2 linked regions of the Anolis sagrei genome follow. The protein of the gene in region 2 interacts with the protein of the main gene of each other region in a biochemical or structural test. Links are inferred from orthologs where the notes say so. Each region holds a gene or a part of one and is shown on either strand. Other genes may lie near its edges.

Region 1 (10,495 bases), on a different chromosome or scaffold from region 2:
CGAGTGACAAGCCACGCCCACTAAGGGGCGGTCCTTCGCTCTTTTCGCCAAAACCACGCCCCTGCTCGAATGCTTGGGAAGGGAAGGAAGAGCGGGCCAATCAGCGCTGGCGGATAACAAGCCACGCCCACGAAGGGGCGGTGCTTCGCTCTTTTCGCTCAAATGCCTGGGAAGGGAAGGCAGAGCGGGCCAATCAGCGCTGGCGGGCAGCAAGCCACGCCCAGTAAGGGGCGGCGCTTCGTTCTTTTCGCCAAAGCCACGCCCCCTGCTCGAATGCTTGGGAAGGGAAAGGCAGAGCGGGCCAATCAGCGCTGGCGGGCAGCAAGCCACGCCCATAAAGGGGCGGTGCTTCGTTCTTTTCGCTCAAATGCCTGGGAAGGGAAGACAGTGCGGGCCAATCAGCGCTGGCGGGCAGCAAGCCACGCCCACTAAGGGGCGGGGATTCGCTCCTTTCCCCAAAGCCACGCCTCCTGCTCAAATGCTTGGGAAGGGAAGGCAGGAAGGAACAAAGCACGCCCATTCTAGGGAGGGAAATGGTTTTGGAAGAAAGGGGGGGATGGATAATAGATAAAAGGACCATAAGGAATAATGTGAAGTCAACATTAAAAGGGGGGGAAAGTGCAATCAAGGTCAAGAAAGGGCAATGCAAAGATTAGGTAGGAAAAGATCAATAAAGGGAAAAGTGCAACAAGAATGAAAGTGTGGAACCAGGAAATAAGGGAAAGGGAAATAAGGATGAAGTGGAAGCAAAGTAATGAGCAAAGTAAAGAGAAGGTGCAAAAAGAATAAAGTATGACAAAGTGCAATAAAAGTAAAGAAAAAGTGCAACAATAAAGTACAAGTAATAAAATCATGCAATAAAAGTAAATAAAAAGTGCAATAAAAGTAGAGAAAATATGCAAGAAGAATAAAGTAAGACACAAGGAGAAAGTGCAATAAAAGTAAAGAGAAAGTGCAATAAGAATAAAGTACAAAACAAGGAAAGAAAAAGTGCAAAAAAGTAAAGAAAATGCAATAAAAGTAGAGAAAATATGTAATAAGAATAAAGTACTACACAAAAAGTACAAAAAAGTAAATAAAAAGTGCAATAAAAGTAGAGAAAATATGCAATAAGAAGAAAGTACAACACAGAAAAAGTGCAATAAAAGTAAAGAAAAAGTCCAACAATAAAGTACGGCACAAGTAATGAAATCATTCAATAAAAGTAAAGAAAAAGTGCAATAAAAGTTAAAGAGAAGGGACAAGAAGAATAAAGTACAACACAAGGAAAGGAAAAGGGCAATAAAAGTAAAGGAAAGTGCAATAAAAGTAGAGAAAATATGCAAGAAGAATAAAGTAAGACACAAGGAAAGAAAAAGGGCAATAAAAGTGAGGAAAAAGTACAATAAAAGTAAAGAAAAAGTGAAACAATAAAGTACAACACAAGTAATGAAATCATGCAATAAAAGTAAATAAAAGTGAAATAAAAGTAAAGAGAAGGTGCAAGAAGAATAAAGTACAATACAAGGAAAGAAAAATTGCAATAAAAGTAGAGAACATGTGCAATAAGAAGAAAGTACAACACAAGGAAAGAAAAAGTGCAATAAAAGTAAATAAAAATTGCAATAAAAGTAGAGAAAAAGTGCAATAATAAAGTACAAGGAAAGAAAAAGTGCAAAAAGTAAATAAGTGCAATAAAAGTAGAGAAAATATGCAAGAAGAATAAAGTACGACACAAGGAAAGAAAAAGGGCAATAAAAGTAAAGAAAGGTGCAAGAATAAAGTAAAAATAATGAAATCATGCAATAAAAGTAAAGAAAAAGTGCAATAAAAGTAAAAAGTGCAATAAATAAAGTACAACACAAGTAATGAAATCATGCAATAAAAGTAAAAAAGTGCAATAAAAGTAGAGAAAACATGCAATAAGAATAAAGTATAACACAAGGAAAGAAAAATTGCAATAAAAGTAAAGAAAAAGTGCAATAAAAGTAAAGAAAAGTGAAATAAAAGTAGAGAAAATATGCAATAAGAATTAAGTACAACACAAGGAAAGAAAAAGTGCAATAAAAGTTTAAAAAGTGCAACAATAAAGTACAAATAATGAAATCATGCAATAAAAGTAAAGAAAAAGTGCAATAAGAATATAAAGTACAAAAAAAGTAACAAAAAGTGCAATAAAGGTAAAGAAAAAGTGCTACAATAAAGTAAAAGTAGTGAAATCATGTAATAAAAGTAAATTAAAAGTGCAATAAAAGTAGAGAAAAGTGCAATAAAAGTAGTGAAAATATGCAAGAAGAATAAAGTAAGACACAAGGAAAGGAAAAGTATAATGAAAGTAAATAAAAGTGCAACAATAAAGTACAAATAATGAAATGCATTAAAATAAAAAAGTGCAATAAAATAAAAAGTGCAATAAAAATAGAGAAAATATGCAAGAAGAATAAAGTATGACACAAGGAAAGGAAAAGGGCAATAAAAGTAAAGAAAAAGTGCAATAAAAGTAGAGAAAATATGTGATAAGAATAAAGTACAACACAAGGAAAGAAAAAGTGCAAAAAAGTAGAGAAAAGTGCAATAAAAGTGATGAAAATGTGTAATAAGAATAAAGTACAACACAAGGAAAGGAAATGAGCAATAAAAGTGATGAAAAGTAAAATAATAAAGTATAGCACAAGTAAAGAAAAAGTGTTACAAAAGTAAAGAAAAAGTGCAATGAAAATAAAGAAAATGTGCAATAAAAGTGATGAAAAAGTGCAATAATAAAGTACAACACTAGTAAATAAGTACAATAAATGTAAAGAAACAGTGCAATAAAAGTGATGAAAATGTGCAAAAATAAAGTACAACAAGGAAAGAAAAAATAATGAAAGTGCAATAACAGTAAAAAGTGCAATAAGAGTAAAATGTATAATAAGAATAAAGTACAACACAAGTCTAAAAAGTGCAATAAAAGTTTTTAAAATGCAAGAAAAGAAAAGAAAATGTGAAATAAGAATAAAGTACAACACAAGTAAAGGAAAAATGAAATAAAAGTTTAAAAGTGAAATAAAAATAAAGAAAAAGTACAATAAGAATAAAGTACAACACGTAACAAAAAGTGCAATAAAAGTAAAGAAAAAGTGCAAGGAAAGTAATGTAAAGTGCAATAAAGTACAACACAAGTAAATAAAGTGCAATAAAAGTAAAGTGAAATAAAAGTAAAGGAAAGTTCAATAAGAATAAAGTACAACACAACAAAAAAACTGCAATAAAAGTAAAGAAAAAGTGCAATAAAAGTAAAAACAAGTGGAATAAAAGTAAAGAAAATGCAATAAGAATAAAGTATAACACAAGTAAGGAAAAAGTGCAATAAAAGTAAAAAAAGTGCAATAAAAGTAAAGAAAATGTATAATAAGAATAAAGTACAACACAAGTAAAAAGTGAAATAAATGTTTATAAAAGTTGCAATAAGTATAAAGTGCATTAAAAGTAAAGAAAAGTGCAATAAGAATGAAGAACAATAAGAATAAAGTGCAATAAAACTATAGGAAAAGTGCAATAAGTATAAAGTGCAATAAAAGTAAAGAAAAAGTACAATAAGAATAAAGTGAATTAAGAACAAAGAAAAAGTGCAATAAATGTAAAGGAAAAATTGCAATAAGAATAAAGAAAAAGTGCAATAAGAGGATGCGAAATGTGCAATAAGTATAAGATGCAATAAAAGTAAAGAAAAAGAACAAAAAATGAAGAGTGGAAAAAGAATAAAGATAAGGAAATAACTTGTATGGCTTCAGTCCATACCTTGATGACACAAGTTTACTATATACATAGATGTAGTGTATACACGATAATATTTGGACTACTGTTGCAGTGTCGGATTGCATTTATTTGACAGTGTGAATCTATGCAACATGGGGTGCAATAAAGACTTACTTTCCTTCTCGAGATCCTTGATGTTGATGTTGTGTTGCATCTGTGGGGGGCCACCTTGCTCGATCCCTGGTCGATCCCACAGAGTTCCGTTATCGGAGTAATAATAAGAGAAGGAGGAATAGGAAGAGATGGAGGAGGAGGAAATGATGAAGAAGGTGGAAGAAGGAGAAGAAAAGGAAGAAGATGAAAGAGGAGATGGAAGATGAGGAAGAAGAAGGAGGAAGAAGGAGGAGATGGAAGTGGAGGATGACAAAGAAGATGATGGAGAAGGAGAGGAAGGAGAAAATGATGATGGAGGAGGAGGAAGGAGAAGATGAAAGAGAAGGTGGAAGAAGATGGAGGGATAGGAGAAAATGAAGGAGGAGAAAGAAGGAGAAGAAGGTGGTGGACAAGGAAGAAGAAGATGGAGGAGGAGGAGAAAGAGAAGATGAAGATGGGGAAAAGGAAGAAGATAAAAGATGAGGAGGAAGAAGAAGATGGAAGGAGGAGAAGAAGGAGAAGATGGGGAAAAGAAGAAGGAGAAAAGGAAGAAGAGGAAAGAAGAGGTGGAAGAAGATGGAGAGATAGGAGAAGATGAAGGAGGAGAAAGGAGGAGTAGAAGGTGGTGGTGGAGGTGGAAGAAGATGGAGAGATAGGAGAAGATGAAGGAGGAGAAAGAAGGAGAAGAAGGTGGTGGTGGAGGTGGAAGAAGATGGAGGAGGATAGGAAGAAGACGATGGAGAAAAGAAAGAAAATAAAAGAGGAAGAGAAGGGAAGGAGTTGAGGAAGGAGAAGATGGGGAAAAGGAGGAGGAGGAAGACAGAGGAGAAGGAGAAGAAAAGGAAGACGAAGAAGAAAGATGAGGTGGAAGAAAATGGAGAGGAAGGAGAAGATGAGGAAGAGGAATAGGAAGAGATAGAAGATGAAGAAAGAGGAGGAAAGGATTTTGAAGGAGAAGAAGGTGAAGGAAAGAGAAGGAGATGGAGGAGAAAGAAAAAGAAGAAATGGAGAGGGAAGATGAAGTAGAAGACAATGGAGGAGAGGAATGAGAAGATGAAGAAGGGGAAGGAGGAAGAAAAACAAAAGGAAGAAAATGAGAAATAGATGAAAAAAGGAGGTAGAAGGAGAGGGAGATGATGAAGGTGGAGGGAAAAGAAGATGGAAGAGAAGGAGAGGCAAGAGGAGGAAAAGAGGATGAGGGGAGAAGAAGGAAAAGAGACGGAAGAAGAGGAAGAAGAGGAAGGCTGGAAACGATGGAGGAGGAGGAAAAAGAAGATGGAAGAGAAGGAGAGGCAAGAGGAGGAAAAGAGGATGAGGGGAGAAGAAAGAAAAGAGATGGAAGAAGAGGAAGGCTGGAAAAGAATGGATACAAAGAAGATGGAGATGATGATGAAGAAGGAGGAGAGGAAAGAAGAGAAGAAGGAGAGGAGGGAGAAGATTAAGAAAAAATAGTCCTCATCATGGATGGTCAGGCTGAGGTGAGAAGATGGCCTTCATCTTCTTCATCTTCTTCTCCGGGGCTCGGTTTTCCAGCCAAAGCAATGGCCGCAGAAGCCAAACATCACAAGAGGAGAAGTGGGCTTCTCCTCCGTGGGCAGCTCTCTTCGTCGCAAGGGACGGAGTGCTTGGCATTCTCTCTGCCGTGGGATGCTCGAGGCATCGGCAGGAGAAGCATGTGGAAAATGTGCCGGGGTCAGCGTGTGTGTGGCCTTTGGTCATTCATCCTCTGGAGGGAAGAAAACAGAGGCAAAAAATGCCAGTGGTGGACTCAGGTGTTGTTGTATTCAACCAATGGCCTGGACATTATTATTATTATTATTATTATTATTATTATTGGAAACACAACAAGATGAGTCCACAGCAGACACTGTGCTGGCTGTTGTATTGGATCACACGTCGGACACTTCCCAAGTGCCTAGGACTGTGTGATGTATTTATTATTATTATTATTATTATTATTATTATTATTATTATTATTATTATTATTTGAAACACAACAAGATGAGTCCACAGCAGACACTCTTCTGGCTGTTGTATTGGATCACACGTCGGACACTTCCCAAGTGCCTAGGACTGTGTGATGTGTCGGCAAATAATGCGTGCAGATCCCAGTAAGATAGCAGATGGTAATTTTGTCAGAGCCGATTGTGTTTAAGTGCAGGCCAAGGTCTTGAGACACTGCACCCAGTGTGCCGATCACCACTGGGACCCCATTGACTGGCTTGTGCCAGAGTTTTGGCAGTTCGATCATTATTGTTGTTGTTATTATGTTTATGTTTATGTTTATTTATACCCTGCTTTTCCTCTCCACAAGGAGACACATGTCGACACCATTGCATGAATGCAGTCTGATGCCACTTTCACCGCCAAAGCTTCAAGCTATCAGGATGTGAGTTGTAGTTTGCGGAGGCCCCCCGCACTCTTTGGCCAAGGGGAGCATGTGAAACTATAATCTATCTATCTATCTTTCTATCCATCCATCTCTCTCTTTCTCCATCTATCTATCCATCTATCTATCATCTATCTATCTATCTATCTATCTATCTATCTATCTATCTATCTATCTATCTATCCCTCTCTCTCTCTCTCTCTCTTTCTCTTGATCTCTATCCATCTATCTATCCACCCATCAATCTCTATCTATCTATCTATCTATCTATCTATCTATCTATCTATCTATCTATCCCTCTCTCTCTCTCTCTCTCTCTCTTTCTCTTGATCTCTATCCATCTATCTATCCACCCATCAATCTCTATCTATCTATCTATCTATCTATCTATCTATCTATCTATCTATCTATCTATCCCTCTCTCTCTCTCTCTCTCTCTCTCTCTCTTTCTCTTGATCTCTATCCATCTATCTATCCACCCATCAATCTCTATCTATCTATCTATCTATCTATCTATCTATCTATCTATCTATCTATCCCTCTCTCTCTCTCTCTCTCTCTCTTTCTCTTGATCTCTATCCATCTATCTATCCACCCATCAATCTCTATCTATCTATCTATCTATCTATCTATCCCTCTCTCTCTCTCTCTCTTTCTCTTGATCTCTATCCATCTATCTATCCACCCATCAATCTCTATCTATCTATCTATCTATCTATCTATCTATCTATCTATCTAACCCTCTCTCTCTCTCTCTCTCTCTCTTTCTCTTGATCTCTATCCATCTATCTATCCACCCATCAATCTCTATCTATCTATCTATCTATCTATCTATCTATCTATCTATCTATCTACCTACCCATCCATCCATCTCTCTCTCTATCTATCTCCATCTTTCTCTCAATCTCTATCTATCTCTCTCTCTCTCCCGCTATCATCCATCTATCCATCCATCCATCCATCCATCCATCTATCCACACATCTATCTATCTATCTATCTATCTATCTATCTATCTATCTATCTAGCCATCCATCCATCCATCCATCTATCCATCTCAATCTATCTGTCTGTCTGTCTGTCTGTCTTGTCTGTCTGTCGGTCGATCGATCTATCGATCTATCGATCTATGTATCCATCCATTTCTTTTTCTCTCCCTAACTATTTATCTATCTATTTCTATATCTCTCTATCTAGTCATCTATCTATCTATCTATCTATCTATCTATCTATCCATCCATCTCTCTATCTCTCTGGGGAAGAAGATGCAGAGGAAGAATAGGGCTTCACAGCCACATACGGACCCACAAGGAAATCCATAGCGGAAGACCATCTTACTCGTCCAACGAGGGATCGCCTAAGTAAGTAAGTATCTATCTATTTATCTATCTATCTAGCCATCCATCCATCTAAATAACTTCCAGGACTCTAGCATTGTGCTGGAACAGCTGAAGTGGTTTCAAACAGCATCAATCTATAGTGGAGACACACCATGAGTTTTGGGTAGCAACCTTTGGCCATCCTGAGCACACTGCTTTCACCAAAACGTAAAATGATAGAATCCTAGAGTCAGAAGGGACCCTCCAAAGGCCATCTAGTCCCACCCGATTCTGCCAGGCAGGAAGACACCATCCAAGCTCTCCCGACAGATAACCATCCAGACTCTGAATCATAGAATCTTAGCGTTGGAAGGGACCCTGAGGACCATCCTATTCTAAAGGACCCCAAAGGCCATCCAGTCCAACCTAATTCAGCCAGGCAGGATGTCACGTTCCAATCCCTCCCGACAGATGGCCATTCAGCCTCCAAAGAAGAAGATTCCATCATCATGAATATTATCAAAAATGACAACAATGATGATTGCGAGGATGGAATCCTAGAGTTGGATCCTAGAGTCCAACCCTTTCTGCACATCAGGGAGGCACAATCCAATCCCTCCCGACAGATGGCCATTCGGCCTCCAAAGAAGACGACTCCATCATCATGAATATGATCAGAAATGACAAACATGATGATTACGAGGATGGAATCCTAGAGTTGGATCCTAGAGTCCAACCCTTTCTGCCAATCAGGGAGGCACAATCCAATCCCTCCCGACAGATGGCCATTCGGCCTCCAAAGAAGAAGACGCCATCATCATGAATATGATCAAAAATGACAACCATGATGATTACGAGGATGGAATCCTAGAGTTGGATCCTAGAGTCCAACCCTTTCTGCACATCAGGGAGGCACAATCCGACCCCTCCCGACAGATGGCCAGCCATCCTCTGCTTGAGAAGGAGATTCCACCAGACTCCAAGGCAACATATTCTCCCAGATCTGAATGGGCATCGACGCGAAGGCTCGTGTGTGTCTGTGTGTCCGTCCAAGCGGTCATGCGGACACCCCGGCTGACCCGAACGGTTGAATCGTCCCCTTTGTCTTCCCCCGTCTCCCCCTCCCGGCTGTTGTTGATGTCCGAGACAAAAAAAGCCGTGTTTATCATCCTTTCTGGGGACACAACAGAAGAGTCCAGCAAAGAAAGGAACTTCTGTGCCGTGCCAGCTTCCCCAAAGGGACCCGGCCCGGTGTTGTTTTCTTGGCCATTGAAAACAAGCGGGCAGGGAGCGGGAGGAAAGGACGGAAAAGGCCCCGCTTTGGCCTGGTTTCCAAAGTTTGTGCAGAGAGACAGCACTGGCTTTGGAAGCAACTCTTGTGTCTGTTGGAAGGGCATCCAGTCCAACAGGAGACACAACCAAAGCCCTCCCGACAGATGGCCATCCAGTCTCTGCTGGAAAATCTCCAAAGAAGGAGACCCGGGAAGACACCATCAAAGCCCTCTTGACAGATGGCCATCCAGATTTATAAAATCCTAGAGTCGGAAGATAACTCCAAGGGCCGTCCAGTCCAACGCCCTTCTGAAACCGTCAAAGCCCTCTCGACAGATGGCCATACAGCCTTATAGAATTTTCAAGTTCGAAGGGAACAACAAGGACCATCCAGTCCACCCTCCTTCCAACACCGTCAAAGCCCTCTCGACAGATGGCCATCCAGATTTATACAATCGTAGAGTCGGAAGATAACTCCAAGGGCCGTCCAGTCCAACCCCCTTCTGACACCGTCAAAGCCCTCTCGACAGATGGCCATACAGCCTTATAGAATCCTGGAGTTAGAAGATAACTCCAAGGGCCATCCAATTCAAGCTCCTTCCAACACCGTCAAAGCCCTCTCAACAGATGGTCATACAGCTGTATAGAATCCTAGAGTTGGAAGATAACTCCAAGGGCCATCCAGTCCAACCCCCTTCTGAGACCGTCAAAGCCCTCTCGACAGATGGCCATACAGATTTATACAATCCTAGAGTCGGAAGATAACTCCAAGGGCCATCCAGTCCAGCCTCCTTCTGACACCGTCAAAGCCCTCTCTACAGATGGCCATCCAAAATTATAGAATCCTAAAGTTGGAAGATAACTCCAAGGGCTGTCCAGTCCAACAGGAGACACAACCAAAGCCCTCCTGACAGATGGCCATCCAGTCTCTGCTGGAAAATCTCCAAAGAAGGAGACTCAGGAAGACAACATCAAAGCCCTCTCGACAGATGGCCATCCAGATTTATACAATCCTAGAGTCGGAAGATAACTCCAAGGGCCGTACAGTCCAGCCCCCTTCTGACACCGTCAAAGCCCTCTCGACAGATGGCCATCCAGATTTATACAATCCTAGAGTCGGAGGATAACTCCAAGGGCCATCCAGTCCAACAGGAGACACAACCAAAGCCCTCCTGACAGATGGCCATCCAGTCTCTGCTGGAAAACCTCCAAAAGAAGGAGACTCAGGAAGACACCATCAAAGCCTTCTCGACAGATGGCCATCCAGATTTATACAATCCTAGAGTTGGAAGATAACTCCAAGAACCATCCAGTCCAACGCCATTCGGATACCATCAAAGCCCTCTCGACAGATGGCCATACAGAATTATAGAATCCTAGAGTTGGAAGATAACTCCAAGGGCCGTCCAGTCCAACCCCCTTCCGACACCGTCAAAACCCTCTCAACAGATGACCATAGAGACATAGAATACTAGAAGATACTAGAGTTGGAAGATAACATTATTATTATTATTATTATTATTATTATTATTACTCCAAAGGCCGTCAGTCCAAACCCCTTCCGACACCATCAAAGCCCTCTCTACAGATGGCCATCCAGAATTATAGAATCCTAAAGTTGGAAGATAACTCCAAGGGCCGTCCAGT
Region 2 (10,516 bases):
AAATCTGAGATTATTTTTTAAATAATGTGAGCAAATGATTCTTAAAAAGCATGCCTTGAAAACTTAGACCATTACATTGATTACTTTCACCAGTTCATTCTGATGCCCAAACCTTCACATCAATGAAATTATTTGGACAATAAATTAGAGGTACTGTGACCTATATTTCTGAGAAGGAAACTGGAAAAAAAACACATATATGTATTCCTTGCCAAAGAAAAAATATATGAAATTCCTAATATCACCCTAAATAATAACTCTCCCCGAAAGGATGCAGGGGGCTTACATGGGGACAAGCCCAGTCAACATAATTAAACTAAAAATAACACACTAAAATACATAAACAGCATAAAACAGCAACATTATAACAAAATTGTATGAGCAAACCATCGAACCAACAACCAATGAACCTAATAATCAGTTTCTGGGCACAGGTGGGCAGAGTGGTGTAAGTCCATTTTTGAGGATAGGGCTAGTGGATAAAGTGCATAAATAGACTGGAAACTTGAAGGCACACACATATCCCACACCAGATCAGAGCAAAAAGGAGACACCAGGACATTCCAGTTCAGGTACTAATTAATAGACTTAACAGATATGTGGCAATGCCCAATAACAGTAATCCAGGAAGGAATTTTATTATGACCTAAGGGGCAGGTAGGATTTGCAGTTTAGGCCCCCATCTACAGTAATCATTTAAGGCAGGTTGAAGCCAGCAATGAAGCCTGGAGGGTAATTACACAAACCAGAGCTCTAGTGTGCATTTAAGTTTTCTTTCGAACATGTTTTTGAGTGATTTGCTGCCTGGCTGCAAAGCTAGTTTTGGATTGCAATAAATGGTCCATGGAGACAGGATCTCAGTTTTAAAGGTTATAGAAAAGCAGCTTTTTTCATGTCTGAAGTGACTTGAGAAACTGCTAGTCGCTTCCAATATGAGAGAATTGGCTGTCTGTAAAGGCGTTGCCCAGAGGATGCCCAGATGTGTTACCATCCTGTGGAAGTGTTCTCTCATTTCCCCACATGGGAAGCTGGAGCTGAAAGACAGGAGCTCATCCCGTCTCATGGATTTGAACCACCAACCTTCCCAAAGCAGCTTATCAATCAAGTATACACATATAGGTGGTTCCCAAGTTACAAACATACAACTTACAAACAACTCATAGTTAAGGACAGGAGAAAGACAACAGGAAGTTGGCCTGCATCAATAGGAACATAGTGTCTAGATCTAGGGAAGTAATGCTACCCCTCTATCCTGCTTTGGTTAGATCACACCTGGAATATTGTATCCAATTCTGGGCACCACAACTGAAGAGATATTGACAAGCTGAAATGTGTCCAGAGGAGGGCGACTAAAATGATCAAGGGTTTGGAGAACAAGCCCTATGAAGAGCAGCTTAAGGAGCTGGGCATGTTTAGCCTGAAGAAGAGAATGCTGAGAGGAGATAGGATAGCCATGTATAAATATGTGAGAGGAAGCCACAGGGAGGAGGGAGCAAGCTTGTTTTCTGCTTCCCTGGAGACTAGGATGTGAAACAATGGCTTCAAACTACAAGAAAGGAGATTCCATCTGAACATGGGGAAGAACTTCCTGACTGTGAGAGCCGTTCAGCAATGGAACTCTCTGCCCTGGAGTGTGGTGGAGGCTCCTTCTTTAGAAGCTTTTAAACAGAGGCTGAATGGCCATCTGTCAGGGGTGGTTTGAATGCAATATTCCTGCGTCTTGGCAGGGGGTTGGACTGGATGGCCCATGAGGTCTCTTCCAACTCTTTGATTCTATAATTCTAAGTGAGTAATGTATCCCTCAGAAGAGAAATTCATCCTGGAAGAGTGATTGTGGGGGAAAGATTTCTCCACTGAAGTTTTCTCACCAAGCCTTGCTTCCAGAACAAGCTTTTTTTTTTTTCAAAATCCACAGGGACAGGAAGTGAGGTGAAATCTTCTGAACAGGAGCACAAACAGCATACCAAACATCACAGGGGTATTAACCCTTCCTTATGCTATCTGAAACATCTATCTATCTAGAATTACACTTTTAAATGTACCTGTTCCAATTTACATACAAATTCAACTTAAGAATGTTGTTTGTAACTTGGTGGCTGCCTGTACCACGCACCTGAAGAATTTGCAGGTTCAGGTGTGGGGAACAATACAATGGTGCCAGATTCTCAAAAACCTAAAAAGGACTGCCTTCGTCATATATGCCTTAAACTGCCTGCTATAGAAGATTCTGCTGACCAGAAGATTCAAACCCGGCATGGGGTGAGCTCCCGGCCATCAGTCCAGCTTCTGATCACCTAGCAGTTTGAAAACAATGTAAGTAGATAAATAGGTGCTGCTTTGGCGGAGAGGTAAAAGGCGACCTGAAAAAACATGCCAGCAAAAAACTGACCAAGAAAGGCATCTATGGAAAATGAAACAACAGCACCTCTCCATGACCGAGTCAAGCACAGAGAGGAAAAGAGAGATGCCTTGCCTCTGTTTATGTATTGTCTGTCTCTGCCAATTTTACAATGGCATTGAATGTTTGCAATAGGAGTCCCCTCAGGAAGATAGAGCAGAATATGGAGTACGAGTATATCTATATATAAATGCTCTGTGCATAATGAGTACCTTAAAAACAAAAGAACCAATGAATGATATAACACCAAATTTGGCAACAAAACGTCTCACAACACAAGGAGTGACCATCACTCAAAAATTTATGATTTTGTCATTTGGGAGTTGCAGTTGCTGGGATTTATAGTTCACCTACAATCAAAGAGCATTCTGAACTCCATCAATGATGGAATTGAACCAAACTTAGTACACAGTTCTTCCATGACCAACAGAAAATACTAGAAGGGTTTGGTGGGCTGTGTCCTTTGGTTTTGGAGTTGTAGTTCACCTACATCCAGAGATCACTGTGGACTCAAACAATGATGGATCTGGACCAAACTTTACACAAATACTCAGTATGTCCAAATGTGAACGCTGGTGGATTTTGGGGAAAATAGAATCTTGACATTTGGGAGTTGTACTTGCTGGGAGTTATAGTTCACCTACAACCAAAGAGCATTCTGAACCCCACCAACAATGGAATTGAAGCAAACTTGGCACGCAGCTCTCCCATGACCAACAGAAAATACTGGAAGGGTTTGGTGGGCTGTGTCCTTTGGTTTTGGAGTTGTAGTTCACCTACATCCAGAGATCACTGTGGACTCAAACAATGATGGATCTGGACCAAACTCTACACAAATACTCAGTATGTCCAAATGTGAACGCTGGTGGAGTTTGGGGAAAATAGAATCTTGACATTTGGGAGTTGTACTTGCTGGGATTTATAGTTCGCCTACAATCAGAGCATTCTGAACCCCACCAACGATAGAATTGGGCGAAACCTCCCACACAGAACCCCCATGTGGGCCACAGCAACGCGTGGCAGGGGACGGCTAGTTATTATTATTATTATTCACATTGGCCTATGATGATGAACCATTGACACATACTGGCTGTTAGGAATTGTGGGAGTTGCAATCCCAAACACCTGAAGGGCCAAAGTTTGTACATGCCTGCTCTATAATGTAGAATCCTGGGATTTGTAGGCTTTATTCTTCTCTTTGGCAGAAGATAATGACCTTTTCAAACTACAACTCCCAGGACTCTCCAGCATAGTTGAAACAGTCTCAAACTGCATTATCCATGCAGTGTGTTGCTTCTCCAGTCTCTATCCAGGGCATGGGAAAGGCAAATTTAGACTAGAACTCCCACCCTCCCCGCTCACTGTATGCTCACCAACTTCCTGCGGTGGTTGCTCCTAAAGGCTTGTTCTTTATGCTTCAAACCCTCTCCCCACAAAAAAAAATGTTCCCAAAAAAGCTTAGAGAAGATAGATACCACGCAAGAGAGCCCCTGAGTAGAAGCTTCCAGGTTAAAACGCTGTGGAAGACTCCCGAGAAGGCCCACTCACCTCCACTCCACACCACTCTGCACTTCCGACGAGCGTTTGAATTCAAACCTCCGCCCGCCTCCTTCAACGCCCTTTAAACCATTCCCGCGCTACGATTGGTCAATCATCTCCCTTTCCTGCTCCGGCGTCCGCTCGCTGATTGGCTGCCTCCGCGTCAGGGCCCGCCCCCTTCCTCCGGTTCCAACTGTCTCAGCTGAAAAGAAACGGGGCCAGCTTCTTTTCTTCCAAGGGTCAGCTCTACTACGCATGCGTCCAACACGACAAGCAAAAAAAAAAAAAAGATAAAGGGGGATTTGAATTGGAAGGGGGCGTGGTCTGTGGAACCTTCCCCAACGCTTCACTTCCTGGTTGTTAAGCTTAACGCTTGAGTTTTTTCTGGCGCGTGCGCTCCTTACGCCGTTTGCGCAACGCTGCCCCCACTGGTTACCGTTTACTCTTCCGCCAGTTGCGCTTCGCTTCGCCTCGCCACGCCCCCTTCGCTCAGTGTTGGGAAGGAGAGAGTTGCTCTTCTCCGTTTGAAATGAGATCTTGGTGGTATCATCAATCCAAACCCATCGCCTGCCTCAAATGTTTAAATACTAAGTTTGTAGCCCAAACTTATATGGAATGGATGTTGTGCTGTGTTATAGAAGGATAATGGAAGGCCACAAGCAACTGTTTTGTACTCTTCAGCTTTGAAGCCACTTGTGGAAGGAAGAGGCCTAATCAGGACTTTGAAAGACTTGACACATTTAGATTGATCAGAAAGTCACAAAAAGGGTCACACTTGCCAGGATTTGTGACTTAACACTTTTTCCAAAGCGACTACTGACAATCAGGAAGTTTCAGCATTTATGGGAAGACGATATAGTGCTCTTGTATGGTTTTTTTAATTCAAAAAATGCCGTATTCTCGCTCACAACTGCATATCTTAAGAGTCAACCCTTCTTTTCTTACCCATTGAGTACAAGACCTGTCAAGAAGAGGATTTCACTCACATTTTGTGAGAGTCATGTCTCGTGTGGTTGTTTTGGCAATTATGGGGTAAGAAGCACTTGAGAGACTCTTCCATTAACAACAACTGATACAAAAGCCGGTTAGGATTTTCCACAAAGAGCAGTTATATCGTACCATTTCAGGCTAGAAGCCAGTCAATTGCATCACAACACAACCAGTGAAAGAAGCACTGTGAACTTCAGAAGAAGCCCATTTCCCTGCCTGTGGGTTTTGTAGGCTGTTCTTATGGGGTAAGAAACACCTGAGGGACTCTTCCATTAACAACAACTGATGAAAATATACAAAAGCCGGTTAGGATTTTCCACAAAGAGCAGTTATATCGTACCATTTCAGGCTAGAAGCCAGTCAATTGCATCTCAACACAAACAACCACTGAAAGAAGCACCGTGAACTTCAGAAGAAGCCCATTTCCCTGCCTGTGTGTTTTGTAATCTGTATGAGACTGACTTTGGAGAAATAGACGTAAAATCGATATGTGCTTTTAAAGAAGATGGTTTCCATTTGACTGGGTTCCTGCAGTCCCCGAGGAAAGGTTTAAACATGGATAATGTGAAGAAGGTATAATAAGGACGGTAGTTTGCTCAATCTATGAGGAAGGATGTCAAATCGGCGTATCACTCCCGCATGTGACAGGCACCAGCTTCCATGGGGCATGAGCAGCAATGAACAGTGGCCAATGCGGCTACCATTTCTTGAGGCCGATGTGAGTATAAAGCTATGCCTTTGGATTCAGCATGAGAAGTAATGGAGGTGTCAGGGGAAAAAAAGCTTGATGCCAGAACTATGATCAGGTGAAAAGCTTTTCTAGTTTAGCCGTTTCCACAGTGATGAACTAGCTACCTCTGAAAAGGCCCCACAGGATAATATGGCTCCACCTGCACTGATCATTTAATACAGTTCAAAACTAGTTTCAAATGGTGGCAACCAGGTAATAGGCTTCCACAAAAGCACTCCAAAAAAGTCCTGTAATGCATACCAGTGCTATGTGGTCTATGTAATTACCATCCAGGCCACAAACCGGATTTCCTGTGTGTCTGCACAGTGAAACCACATTCTTCAATAACGGTTTTAGACTGCATTAAATGGTCAGTTGAGACGTGCTCTATATCTCCCTTTTCTCTCTTGTCTATGGAAAGCCCACAAACAGAAGGGAGAGGCGGATGAGCTCCTTCTATCAGCTCCAGCTCCTCATGCGGGGACATGAGAGAAGCCTCCCACAAGGATGATAAAAACATCAAATCATCCAGGCGTCCTCTGGGCAACGTTCTTGCAGACAGCCAATTCTCTCACACCAGAAGTGACTTGCAGTTCCTCAAGTCGCTCCTGACACAACAACAACAAAGAAGAAGAATAGCACTCCTACAACTGGTTTTGAAAACCATCCTGGAAGCAATGCATGCTATAGTCATCATAACAAGATGCCATTAGTACTCTTAATAGTCTGCTTTAAGCACCTTTTTCATTATTTTTCAAATAATGCTGATTTGTTGCTTTTTTTTTTAACAGAACAAACACACTCACTCTCCTGCAACTGGTGTTGAAATCCAGTTATCATAACAAGAAGCCACTGTATAATCCAATACAGGTAGTCCCTAAGTTATGAACAAGACAGGTTTTATAGGTTCTGATAATTGGATTTTGAAATATTTGGTTTGTGGAAACAAGGATTGGTAATAAAGCTTTCAATAGGGTAAAACAGTCCCCTCCCTGCCATCTTTCAAAAAGCAGCTAAAGGCCTTTCTGTTCGCACAAGCTTTTAATGAAAACTTACTTGGAATGGCAGGAAGGCTAACTCTTAGTAAGTCATGCTAAGTTTACTGTCTCTTGTTGAGTTTCACACAATAATTGCATTTGATGTTTTAAAGTATATTTATTCCCTATTGTAAATTTGGTTTTATAGGTTATTGTTTTACATATGTATGTTGATTTGTATTGTTTTTATAATGTTGTCAGCCGCTTTGGGTTCCGTTCAGGGAGAAAAGTGGGATATAAATAAAGAGTTATTATTATTATTATTATTATAAAAATCTTTCTGGACCGAATTTCCCTTCCAAGAAGTAGATTTCTCTCACTTCCTGTTGTCTCACCCCTGTTCTTAGCTATGAATAATTTGTAAGTTGAGTGCTTATAAACCAGGGACTGTGTGTTTTAAGTGTTGGCCTTGTATTTTGTAATATGTATTTTAAGTGTTACGTCTGTTTTAATGATGTTGTATCCTTGTCTTGTCAAAGGCTTTCATGGCCAGAATAACTGGATTTCTATGAGTTTATTGGTCTGTATGGTCATGTTCCAGCAGCATTCTCTCCTAACGTTTCACCTGAATCTGTGGCTGGCATCTTCAGAGGTTCTGTTGGCAATGAAGTGAGTGGAGTGTACCTGTGTATATACACTCCATTTGCTTCTCTGCCAACAGAACCACTGAAGATGCCAGCCACAGATTCTAGCTAGGAGAGAATGCTGTTGGAACATGCCCCCAAAGCCCAAAACAAACCTCACAGCAATGTTTTATCTTGCCCCATTCTGCAAGGAGAGGTTGGTAACAAATATGATTATGATGCACCGTATCCACCACATAGTAATTGAATTTTTTCCATTATATAGGCAGCAGTCCTTTCCATATTTATTTAGGACTAACCATCCCCTGCAACACATTGCTGTGGCCCACATGGGGGTTCTGTGTGGGAGGTTGGGCCCAATTCTATTGTTGGTGGGGTTGAGAATGCTCTGTGATTGTAGGTGAACTATAAATCCCAGCAACTGCAATTCCCAAATGTCAAGATTCTATTTTCCCCAAACTCCACCTGTGTTCACATTTGGGCATTTGGTGTCAATTCGTCAAGTGGTTTTTGAGTTCTGTTAATCCCACAAACGAACATTACATTTTTATTTAATAGATTGGAGGCCCCATGGGAATGGCAGACTCTGAATATAATTTATTTTATATTCTACTCTCTTGAGCTCCAGAGCACGTTATGGGGAGCCAGTGTAGTGCACTGCTAAGAAATATTGTATTGGGACTTGGGAGTTTCAGTTCCACTAAATTCTAAAACAAGCACTGTCACCTTCGGCCACTCAGTCCTTTTCTCCCAACCAGATCTATCTCACAGTGTTGCTGTTAGTATAAAGTGGGAAGAAGAGCAGCTATGTATGTTGCCTTTAACTTATTGGAGGAAAAGCAGGATATAAACAACTATAGACTTTCATAAAGCACAAGCTTGGCCATGTACTTCTTGTTGTTTAGAAGGACTAAATATATTCATGTGTGGGAAACTGTTTCAGGACTTTTGTTTTTAGCCCTAAAGCTGAAAAACTGTACCCTACCCAGAAGACCTTATTTTCAGGCTCAGGATTCTCTGCATCCATGTTCCTACAGTCTGTTTATTGATGAGTAAAGCAGCAGCCTTTACAACAGTGGTTCTCAGCCTGTGAGTCCTCAGATATTTTGGCCTTCAACACCCAGAAATCCTACCAGCTGGTAAAGTGATTTCTGAGAGTTGTAGGCCAAAACACCTGGGACCCACAGGTTGAAAACCACTGCTTTACAAGATCTTGATGTTTGAGTGACAGTAAAATTGTGGGTTGGGATTAGTGATACTTCTAGTACTTCCTTTCATTGTGTGTTTGTGCATTGCACAAATATAGGTTGAGAATCCCATATCCCAAGATGCATTGGACTCTTAAGTGTCTTGGATTTTTCTGGATTTAACATATATGTTCATAATGAGGTATTTTGGAAGTGGGACCCAACTGGAAACGTGAAATTTGTGTGTGTGTCATATACTTGCCTTGTTTCCCACAAAACTCACGACCTCTGGGGATGCCTGCTATAGATGTGAGTGAAATGTCAGGAGAGAATGTTTCTGGAACATGGTCAGACAGCCCGGAAAATTCACAGCAACCCAATGCTGGAAATCTATGTGTAACATGACAGACCCACATGCCTATTATACAGCTTTTAAAGGAGTGGTGGTGGCATGCACTCAGCATGTTCTCTGGAGTCCCCTTCTGACGTAGAAAGGTGAGGAAGGGGACTCCAGAGAATGTGCAGAGTGCATGCCCCTTCAGTTGCAATGCCACACACTACATGTGCTATTGGTCCACCTTAAATTCCATGGCAACGTTATAAAGCAGGGGTCCTCAAACTAAGGCCCGGGGGCCAGATACGGCCCTCCAAGGTCATTTACCTGGCCCTTGCTTGTTCGACCTAAGTTTGAAACAACTTGAAAGCACACAACAACAATCCTATTTCATCAGCCAAAAGCAGGCCCACATTTCCCATTGACATACTAATAAGTTTATATTTGTTTAAATTGTTATTCATTTTAATTATTGTATTGTTTTAATGTGTTTTTTGCACTACAAATTCATGTTTTCTTCAAATTATAATCCGGCCCTCCAACCGTTTGAGGGACTGCGATCTGGCCCTCTGTTTAAAATGTTTGAGGACCCCTGTTATAAAGTATTCTGGGATTTACAGTTGGGAGTGCATTTAGAATCCTCCACCATAGAGCTCTGGGACCCCACTAAACTACAAACCACAAAACCCCACAGGATTATTATTTTTTTGTCGTGTCAGGAGCGACCTGAGAAACTGCAAGTCGCTTCTGGTGTGAGAGAATTGGCCGTCTGCAAGGACGTTACACAGGGGACGCCTGGATGATTTGATGTTTTATCATCCTTGTGGGAGGCTTCTCTCATGTCCCCGCATTAGGAGCTGGAGCTGATAGAGGGAGCTCATCCGCCTCTCCCTGGATTCGAACCAGTCCTGCCGGCACAGGGGTTTAACCCACTGTGCCACCAGGGACACCCCACAGGATGTCACCATGGCATTTAAAGTGGAACGTGATTCCTAAGCTGAGGTGCTTTTGGACTTCAACTCCCAGAACCCCTAGCTGTTGGGTCATACTGACCGAGGCTTCTGGGAGCTGAAGTCCGAAACTGCAGGAGAGCCCAAGTTTGTAATTGGATGCATCAGGGTACATCTACAGTACACTGTACAACGAATGGGGCTTTGACACCATTTCAGGTGCAATGTCTCAGTGGTATGGAATCCTGGGAGTTGTAGTTTGTCTGCCAAAGAGTGCGACTGCCTCTCCAAAGAACAACTCCCAGGCATTGAGTTACGGCAATTAAAAGTAGTGCCAAACTGCATTCATCCTGCCTTCGCCACTTCCATGCGAGTCGGCGCATGCTCCGTGTGACCCTTGCTTGGTTTCCCCGCCCTCCAGCTGCGGCTCCAATCGATGTGCTCGGTGCAGCAGCCTGTTCGACGGAGCGGCCCTCGATCCCGGCTGCTCCTGCCTCCTCCTCCGCCGCTTCCTGCTCCTCCTCCTCCGCCAGGCCTCCCTCCAGCCCCGCTCCCGCTGCCTTTGCCGCCGCCCCCTCCCGACGCTCTCGGGCCTCCAGGAGCCGTTTCCAGCGCAGATCGACCGAGACCAAAAGACGGGCCGGTAGGAACCGCGCCTCGCTTTCTGGATCCCCCTCTCCGTGCCTTTTCCCGCTCTAAAGCCTTGTTACTGCCCCGGAAGTCCCGCCCCCTCCTTCCCCTGATCCTCTGCCTTTCACGTGCTGCTC

What was found.
Region 1: of the proteins of AURKA (region 2) and OTUD7B, one has a biochemical effect on the other in vitro, tested with the Homo sapiens proteins (2 studies listed by BioGRID, with this or other methods). The link is inferred for Anolis sagrei from reciprocal best matches to the Homo sapiens genes AURKA and OTUD7B.

Annotation. Positions count from the first base shown.
Region 1 is NC_090032.1:5,648,403-5,658,897, forward strand, and holds the start of OTUD7B (OTU domain-containing protein 7B), read right to left. Parts: upstream 3,983-10,495; 5' UTR 3,892-3,982; intron 1-3,891. UniProt on the Homo sapiens protein: Negative regulator of the non-canonical NF-kappa-B pathway that acts by mediating deubiquitination of TRAF3, an inhibitor of the NF-kappa-B pathway, thereby acting as a negative regulator of B-cell responses.
Region 2 is NC_090024.1:226,266,358-226,276,873, forward strand, and holds the start of AURKA (aurora kinase A), read right to left. Parts: upstream 4,037-10,516; 5' UTR 3,952-4,036; exon of another isoform or gene 3,874-3,951; intron 3,844-3,873; exon of another isoform or gene 3,772-3,843; intron 1-3,771. Other genes in the region: CSTF1 (cleavage stimulation factor subunit 1), read left to right, coding at 10,186-10,392. UniProt on the Homo sapiens protein: Mitotic serine/threonine kinase that contributes to the regulation of cell cycle progression.